Xenopus tropicalis: one gene and its partner. The protein of the gene in region 1 interacts with the protein of each later gene in a biochemical or structural test. Links are inferred from orthologs where the notes say so. Each region holds a gene or a part of one and is shown in the gene's direction. Other genes may lie near its edges. The genes, in order: rnf4 and ube2w.

What was found.
Region 2: the proteins of rnf4 (region 1) and ube2w form a complex in vitro, tested with the Homo sapiens proteins (2 studies listed by BioGRID). The link is inferred for Xenopus tropicalis from reciprocal best matches to the Homo sapiens genes RNF4 and UBE2W.

The regions. Positions count from the first base shown.
Region 1 is NC_030677.2:21,716,867-21,721,340, forward strand, and holds the start of rnf4 (E3 ubiquitin-protein ligase RNF4), read left to right. Parts: upstream 1-1,635; 5' UTR 1,636-1,683; intron 1,684-4,474. UniProt on the Homo sapiens protein: E3 ubiquitin-protein ligase which binds polysumoylated chains covalently attached to proteins and mediates 'Lys-6'-, 'Lys-11'-, 'Lys-48'- and 'Lys-63'-linked polyubiquitination of those substrates and their subsequent targeting to the proteasome for degradation.
Region 2 is NC_030682.2:121,373,415-121,377,978, reverse strand, and holds the start of ube2w (ubiquitin-conjugating enzyme E2 W), read left to right. Parts: upstream 1-1,481; 5' UTR 1,482-1,524; coding exon 1,525-1,539; intron 1,540-1,576; exon of another isoform or gene 1,577-1,624; coding exon of another isoform or gene 1,625-1,654; intron 1,655-2,439; exon of another isoform or gene 2,440-2,646; intron 2,647-4,564. UniProt on the Homo sapiens protein: Accepts ubiquitin from the E1 complex and catalyzes its covalent attachment to other proteins.

The DNA.
Region 1 (4,474 bases):
ATTGTTCAAGAACTCATCCAGGCCCCTCTTATAGGCATTAACAGAATCTGCCATTACCCCATCACTAGGAAGGGCATTCCCCAACCTCACTGCCCTCACCGTGAGGAACCCCCTACGCTGCTTCAAATGGAAGCTCCTTTCCTCTAATCTAAAGGGGTGACCTCTGGTGCGCTGATTGTTTTTATGGGAAAAAAGAACATCCCCCAACTGCCTATAATCCCCTCTAATGTACTTGTACAGAGTAATCATGTCCCCTCGCAAGCGCCTCTTTTCCAGAGAAAATAACCCCAACCTCGACAGTCTCACCTCATAATTTAACCCTTCCATCCCCTTTACCAGTTTAGTTGCAGTCTCTGCACTCTCTCCAGCTCATTAATATCCTTCTTAAGGACTGGAGCCCAAAACTGCCCCCCATACTCAAGGTGAGGCCTTACCAGGGACCTATAAAGGGGCAAAATTATGTTCTCATCCCTTGAGTCAATGCCCTTTTTTATACAAGACAGCAAAGTTGTTAAGAGGAGGCAGCTCAGCAGTGTATCCAGCTGTCAGTCATACTGGAACTGTCGTTGTGAATAGGAGGCAGCTCAGCAGTGTATCCAGCTGTCAGTCATACTGGAACTGTCGTTGTTAAGAGGAGGCAGCTCAGCGGTGTATCCAGCTGTCAGTCATACTGGAACTGTCGTTGTTAAGAGGAGGCAGCTCAGCGGTGTATCCAGCTGTCAGTCATACTGGAACTGTCGTTGTGAAGAGGAGGCAGCTCAGCGGTGTATCCAGCTGTCAGTCATACTGGAACTGTCGTTGTGAATAGGAGGCAGCTCAGCAGTGCACACAGCAGCTTATTTATATGAGCTATAGTACTGTAACTCTAGCAAATACACTACTTTACCAGTGCAGGGTAACAGTACATTATATTTTAAATACTTTTATACACTTTCATTTTTGGCGTTACTGTTCCTTTAAGGAGAAGACTGGGTAAAATGGACCAAAACAAGGCTTGGGCTATTAGGCTCCTTTTGTCACAGTGGCAGCAGGGTCTCAATGTTTTTATATTAACAGGAATTAGATTTGTCACATTTAAGGGACAGGACTAGAGCTGATTTAGGAGAAGACAGGGTGAATTTGAACAAAAGTAATCTTTTACAAAGTTCCCAGTCAGTTCCTGGGTCCCATAAGGGCAGTAAAGACCGCTTCCGCCAGGAGTTCGCCCTGTCTCACACAGGAATTAGATCACTCCAGCTGTCACAGTTATGTCCAAATCTTATTAAACACCAACAATGCTCTTAGCAAAGCCATTTCCCATAAAAAAGTAAAACTGACACTGTAAAAAGCTACTTTTTATAGCTGCTAAATTAGGCCTGTTTCTCTGATCAGTTTTTTGGAAGGGATGGGCGTGGCCAATTTTGAACCTGACACACTGAGAACTTCCTCCCAGTGTTTGTAACTATCCAGCCGCTCGCCCCTCCCACAAGGGGGCGGGGTTACGCAGCGTCCCGGCGCTTCGATAGGTTTGTGTGACGTCACACTCTCGCGAGAAGAGACTTGTGCCGTTTGGATCAGTAGTTGTCCGGATGGAGCCGTGAAGCTGCCTGTTATTGTGCTTGCGGGATTGTTAAGCTTTGATCCAGGACTGCAGGCGGGACTGAAACAAACGGGACTGTCCCGGGAAAAGCGGAACGGTTGGGGGTATGTAAACTGATACAAACGGGAGCTCCCCACAAAAAGGGCACTGGAGAGGGGGGCATGGAGGCCACTGACAGGAGAGAGGGCCCATAGGAGTTAGAGCCAACTGACAGGCGAGAGAGCCTACAGGAGAGGGGTACTCCGGCCTCACTGACAGGAGAGAGGGCCCCACTGGGGGCAGAGAGCATTGACAGGAGAGGGTTTCCCGGAGCCCTCCCAGGGTCTCTTTGGGGATAGAGCCACCAACAGGAGCGCCCCATGGGCGGGCTAGAGCCCACTGCCAGGAGAGAGGGCCCCATGGGGGGGCTAGAGCCCACTGCCAGGAGAGAGAGCCACATGGGGGGGCTAGAGCCCACTGCCAGGAGAGAGAGCCACATGGGGGGGCTAGAGCCCACTGCCAGGAGAGAGAGCCACATGGGGGGGCTAGAGCCCACTGCCAGGAGAGAGAGCCACATGGGGGGGCTAGAGCCCACTGCCAGGAGAGAGAGCCACATGGGGGGGCTGGAGCCCACTGCCAGGAGAGAGAGGGCCCCATGGGCGGGCTGGAGCCCACTGCCAGGAGAGAGAGGGCCCCATGGGGGGGCTAGAGCCCACTGCCAGGAGAGAGGGCCCCATGGGGGGGCTAGAGCCCACTGCCAGGAGAGAGAGGGCCCCATGGGCGGGCTAGAGCCCACTGCCAGGAGAGAGGGCCCCATGGGCGGGCTAGAGCCCACTGCCAGGAGAGAGAGCCCCATGGGGGGGCTAGAGCCCACTGCCAGGAGAGAGGGCCCCATGGGGGGGCTAGAGCCCACTGCCAGGAGAGAGGGCCCCATGGGGGGGCTAGAGCCCACTGCCAGGAGAGAGGGTCCCATGGGGGGGGGCTAGAGCCCACTGCCAGGAGAGAGGGCCCCATGGGGGGGGCTAGAGCCCACTGCCAGGAGAGAGGGCCCCATGGGGGGGGCTAGAGCCCACTGCCAGGAGAGAGGGCCCCATGGGGGGGCTAGAGCCCACTGCCAGGAGAGAGGGCCCCATGGGGGGGGCTAGAGCCCACTGCCAGGAGAGAGGGCCCCATGGGGGGGCTAGAGCCCACTGCCAGGAGAGAGGGCCACATGGGGGGGCTAGAGCCCACTGCCAGGAGAGAGGGCCCCATGGGGGGGCTAGAGCCCACTGCCGGGAGAGAGGGCCCCATGGGCAGGCTAGAGCCCACTGCCGGGAGAGAGGGCCCCATGGGCAGGCTAGAGCCCACTGCCAGGAGAGAGGGCCCCATGGGCGGGCTAGAGCCCACTGCCAGGAGAGAGAGAGGGCCCCATGGGCGGGCTAGAGCCCACTGCCAGGAGAGAGAGAGGGCCCCATGGGCGGGCTAGAGCCCACTGCCAGGAGAGAGAGAGGGCCCCATGGGCGGGCTAGAGCCCACTGCCAGGAGAGAGAGAGGGCCCCATGGGCGGGCTAGAGCCCACTGCCGAGAGAGAGAGGGCCCCATGGGCGGGCTAGAGCCCACTGCCAGGAGAGAGAGGGCCCCATGGGCGGGCTAGAGCCCACTGCCAGGAGAGAGAGGGCCCCATGGGCGGGCTAGAGCCCACTGCCAGGAGAGAGAGGGCCCCATGGGGGGGCTAGAGCCCACTGCCAGGAGAGAGAGAGGGCCCCATGGGCGGGCTAGAGCCCACTGCCAGGAGAGAGGGCCCCATGGGGGGGCTAGAGCCCACTGCCAGGAGAGAGGGCCCCATGGGGGGGCTAGAGCCCACTGCCAGGAGAGAGGGCCCCATGGGCACTGATAGGAGAGGGAGACGCAGCACAGCCGGACACATGGGGGGCAGAGCCTACTGACGGGAGAGGGAGACGCAGCACAACCGGACACGTGGGGGGCAGAGCCTACTGACGGGAGAGGGAGACGCAGCACAGCCAGACACATGGGGGGCAGAGCCTACTGACGGGAGAGGGAGACGCAGCACAGCCAGACACATGGGGGGCAGAGCCTACTGACGGGAGAGGGAGACGCAGCACAGCCGGACACATGGGGGGCAGAGCCTACTGACGGGAGAGGGAGACGCAGCACAGCCGGACACATGGGGGGCAGAGCCTACTGACAGGAGAGGGAGACGCAGCACAGCCGGACACATGGGGGGCAGAGCCTACTGAGGGAAATGTGCAGCTCACTGAGAGGAAGAGGGCACAGAGAGAGGTACACATGGAATCCACTGACCATAATGTGGGCCCCATTGGGGAGCAGAAGCCAGTGACAGGAATGATGCTGTGGCTTTTAAAAATGTAGTAGGCACGCTACATAGAGTTGGACAGCACTTATTGAATGTGACATTGGGCCAGTCACTGGAAGCCACCTATGCACAGCTGTCACCAAAATTCCTCCTACTTGTGTGACAGCCCCATTATTATATGTTTCTTTATCTCGTAGGCAGTATTTGATATTATTAATATACCTCCATCTTTTCACAGAAGTTATAGCGGTACTGCTGCTGCTATTATAATAAACATTTCCCCTTCCAAATTGTAGTCAATGATTAGTAATTCTTATGCACAAATAGCTTTTATTTATTCATTTTTGTAGTCTTTGAAATACATAGTTCATTTTCCTTACAACCAGTAGAACATTGAAAATTTCTGACTCATGCTAGAATCTGCCAATTAGAGAAGGAGAAACCTGTTGGTGATTCATTCATTGGTTGCAGCTGAAATAAAGTATTTAACTGTATAAACAACTGCAATTGAAGTGCCAACCCTTATCCAGAGAGCTTACAATCTAAAAAGAAATCAGCAGTGAGACATAAGCAAAGGTGGTAAAGGTCTCTGGATACTGGCA
Region 2 (4,564 bases), on another chromosome or scaffold:
CATCTACTCAGCAGCACATATCAGAAGATGATGCAAATGATAACGCTTTATAGAGGATTATTGCATAAGCATGCTGCCACTTTGTGAAGCTTAGGGCCCTATAAATAAGACCACATCCTCATTGCCATACACAGCACCCTTTAGACTTAAGAAGCACTGCACAACTGAAAATGATTATGAACACTAAACAAACATCTGATATTTCAGTAAGATCACTGACGTTAATAGATTATATGCATTTAAATAACCCCAGATATGCTAATAAGATCACTGCAGTAAATGGTTTCAAAGAACTGCATTAGACCCTCAGACATGCCAGAAAGATCACTTCAGAAAATGGATTCGAAAAACTGCCTTAAACTCAGACATGCCAGTAATATAATCGCAGAAAATGTAACACTAAATTAACCACAGATACGTCATTAAGATCTCAGCAGAAAACAGGTTAAAAAAACTGAGGACTGAGGTATCTATCCTGACTGCTTCCAAAGGGGTGCCAAGCTGACCAGGTGCATTTACCCTGCCCAGACTCTAAAGGAGGTGGGATAAACAGCTGTTCTGTCCTCAGAGTATTACTATCGTATACCATCTGTTGGTGAGTATTTGATCTAACCCTGCATTGCTACTTGTCTTTGACAATAAATCTGTGCTATAGTTTAACTGCAAGAACCTGCGTCTATCTTTACTAAATTGCATTGCAGACAGCTACAGTGAGTTGTAGTTATACTACACCCTAGCTCTGCTGGTCACTTCCATCTAGCAAAGGCCCATCCTGTTTAAGAGAGTCACATGTAGCCCATGCTCTAATACCTATACTAGCCTGGGTTTGACTATTTTATAGCCAAATAGCGGCTACATAAATTATCCCTGTCAGAAATGATTGAGTTACACTGACCTATTTCCTTTTGACTGAAGCAGTCATTAAGCAACAACTCTTCTTCTGTGCAGTGACTAAACCTAACAGCGCTCTAAAGCTGGCCATACACGCACCGATACTAACGTACGAAACGAGGTTTCGTACGATATTCGGTGCGTGTATGGCATGTCGGCATGTCAACCGATATCGCAGGAAGCTGCTGATATCGGACAACTCGCCGATCGGCCAGGTTAGAAAATTTTGATCGGGCACCATAGAAGGCGCCTGAGCAAAATCTGCGGTCAGGGCTGAATCGGCAGAAGGAGGTAGAAATCCTATTGTTTCTACCTCCTTATCTGCTGTTTCAGCCCTGACTGTGTGTGGCGGATCTGACGATGTTTTGTGCGACCATCATCCTCATATCGCCACGTGTATGGCCAGCTTAACACAAGCTCAGGTTGCAGCGAAACAATCACTACAAGTCCATGTCCTGCACACACAGACTATATTTGCCTTTAATGCCGCACTGCGCATGCCCAGAAGGACAAGCGCTGAGCCAGTGCGCCTGCGCAGCTTTACTCTCACAAGGGCGCAGGCAGTTCCTTGTAGATGACGTAGAGTCACGTGAGCGGTAGCGTCGCCCAAGAGGGAGGGGGTGGGTTTCCATCATGGCGTCAATGCAGGTGAGTGTTATTAGAGTTTTAAGCGGAGCGACCCGGATCTTCGCGGCTGGCAGCGGAATATTACCGGGAGTGGGAAGTGGGCTCTATGGAGAGCACTGCCAGCCGTGGTTTGTGGGTTTGTTTCTGCTTCTCGTTACTCCTGACATTCTTTTCTGGCTTCCCTATCTGTGTCCTCTGCAATTACCTGCCAGCTTCAGGGAACCTTCCGCTCAGAACGGCTCCCCTTGTCTCCGTGGGGATGCGGCTTGGCAGCTCACCTGTATAGCTGGTGTGGGAGGTGCGACGCTCGGTGTGCCAGCCTGCTAACTTTACACCCCCCCTTCCTATCGATAGCCTTGCCTGCCGTAGCTTCTGGGAATTGTAGTTTGATAATAGCTGGAGACCCATAGGCTTGACAGCTCATTGGGAACATTACATATTCTCCTCTGTACCTTCAACGTTCTGTGCGGTGGGTCAGGGCTTCTATAAGTACTTTATTTTATAGCTGAATCTGGGGCAGGAACTGGCTGCTATTATGTGTAGGGCAGGGATCAGCCAGCATATTCCATTTTATTGTGTGGGATATGAATCACCCAGCATGTTCCATTTTATTGTGTAGGGTAGGAAATGCCTGGTTATACTGCATCCCCTTCCCCCTGTGTAGGACATTAAGTCCCTGTTATGTTCCAGTTCTTTTACTTGGGCAGTAATTATCCAGTTTATTCAAATCCTTTCCAAAAAGACAGAACAAGCCGGCATTTTCCCTTTACTCCTGTGTATCATTGGGATTGTTATTTTACTTCCTCTTTATACTTTGTGCAAAAATTGACTTTGTTTTTCACTTACCTTGTTTTCTCCATGTAGGGCCATAAAATAAATATTATGGTTGTTTGACATTTATTAGACATGATCTGTCCTGTATTTTGATTCTTACACTGATTTGTGGGATTATCAGTACGTGTATGCAGCCCTGACTGGTATCTATGTATCATGGCTATCAACTGGTTCTTTCATCGGAGGTTGGAAAGTTTCATATGCCGATGCATCAAGTTGGCCGGTGTATGGTGCATAGATGAAGAGCCAGAGTTCCTCTTAACTTACTGATGTTCCGAGCAGAGGAAGAGAAAGGTAGCAGTTACATCTATGACCCCCTTATACAGCTATCTGACTGTTTGGCTGATATTTTGGATACCATCTTAATAATGTAGAGAAGAGCTCTATGGACAGAATAACTTTAGTGAATCTATTAATGTCTGTTACAAGGCCCCTGTGTGCTGTTTATCACATATTACGTTCTGTAATAGACATAAATAAATTCATTAAGCAGTTATTGTGCCTGTTGTGATCTCCTCTTCATTATTAAGATTATGTGAATAAACGGCTCCACCTTTTGGGGATCGATGCGCCAAGCCTGCAAAGCAGTAAGGCTTGAGCGTCTGAGCGCCTATTGTTTGATTCATTTGGATACCATATTGGATTGACCTGTGAGACTGTTCACTGCAGTAGTTATGGTAACAAAATATTTAGAATTGCTAAGAACCTCATTGCGTTATAGTCAATTGAAAATTCCATGGGTTTGAAACACCCTGGATAGTCAAGTGGCAGCTCATACACTTGGAAATTATATACTTGACAGTCAGTTGGAATAGTCTGTTCTAGTTGGAAGGAGACATTACCTGTTTACCCTTATTATTAAATTATTTGGAAGCTTAGTCATTGATAAACCTGGTACATTATCCATATAATTATTTAAGGTTGGTGTTTAATACCGCTTTAATGCAAATTACCTTTCTTGTCATATTGACTTCTTGATAATGTCATTTATTTGATCATATTCTTTCTATATCAAGTTTAATTAATGATCTCTTTTGATCTCAAGGATACTACTTACTTGTATCTAAAGTAAGTTTGTGCATTGATCTGTGTACCTTTCAATATAGAAAGTATCTTTAACAGTTAAAATGAATTAAAACAATATATTCTTTGTAGTTTATATTACATTATAATTTTCACTATAGTTACCCCTTCAGCTCAGGTGCCATATATTATAAGGAAAAGGGCATCTGATAAAACAGTGATCAGTACTTTATATGTCCCTTTTAATAAATGTTTCCTGCCGAACAGTGTTGTAATGGTAGAGGTTGTGCTGAAGGCTCTTGGTAAATGACAGAACTAGCATACAGGCTTTTCCTCCTCCGGGCCCCAAACACAGGTGATTTTCCTGATCCTTTTATGTGGGAGTTAATGCTTTTACTTTTTCAAGGTTTTGAGTTAAATAAAGTTAGTCATGTAGGTAGAATATGTTGTAAGTATCTTGTAGTGTAAATAAAAAATGTTTATTGTGATGTGCAGAATTTGGCTTAAAGCCGAATAGACATGTTTCAACCAACAAGAGGGCCAGTCAGGACCAGTGTCTAGAAAAGATAACCCAGCTGATTTCCCGGGACACTATGCTTTGTATAGTTTGTATGCTTCTGGCCAGTACACCAAACCTTTCTTGGTTCTTAAAAGGAGATTATCCACTTACAATATTGGTACGGTAGGCACTTAGCCTTTGTTAATAAACATCACAGTAACTAGATTTAGAAAAGCAAGAGCAACATAACTACAAAATAAAAATGTAAAAATTGAAACATATAAGACTTGATATGCTCTAAATATTGTAGCCATTAGAGTAAACACACAGTGCCACCACCCAGCCTTTAAAGAGAAGGATTTTTGAAGGTCTGTAATTTTATTTAATCACCTCTTACCTGTGTTACAAAGGCATAGTATGTAAGTAGTATTGGTACACAGCACTTAAATGGATGTATTAATGGAAGAATTGGCTTCTATTTACTTCAAGGATGTCTGACAAGTAGCTGTGTTTAAGCAACAACTACCAGGAGACCATCGCAACACAACAGAAAGGACAACTTACATATTGTTTGGGTTATGGAATGTTAAGTCACATATAGCAGGACACCGGTTTTTGACCTGTCCTTGCATTCCACAAAAGGGACACTATTGCTGATATGTTTGGAGCTGGTATCTATGTATTAGTATA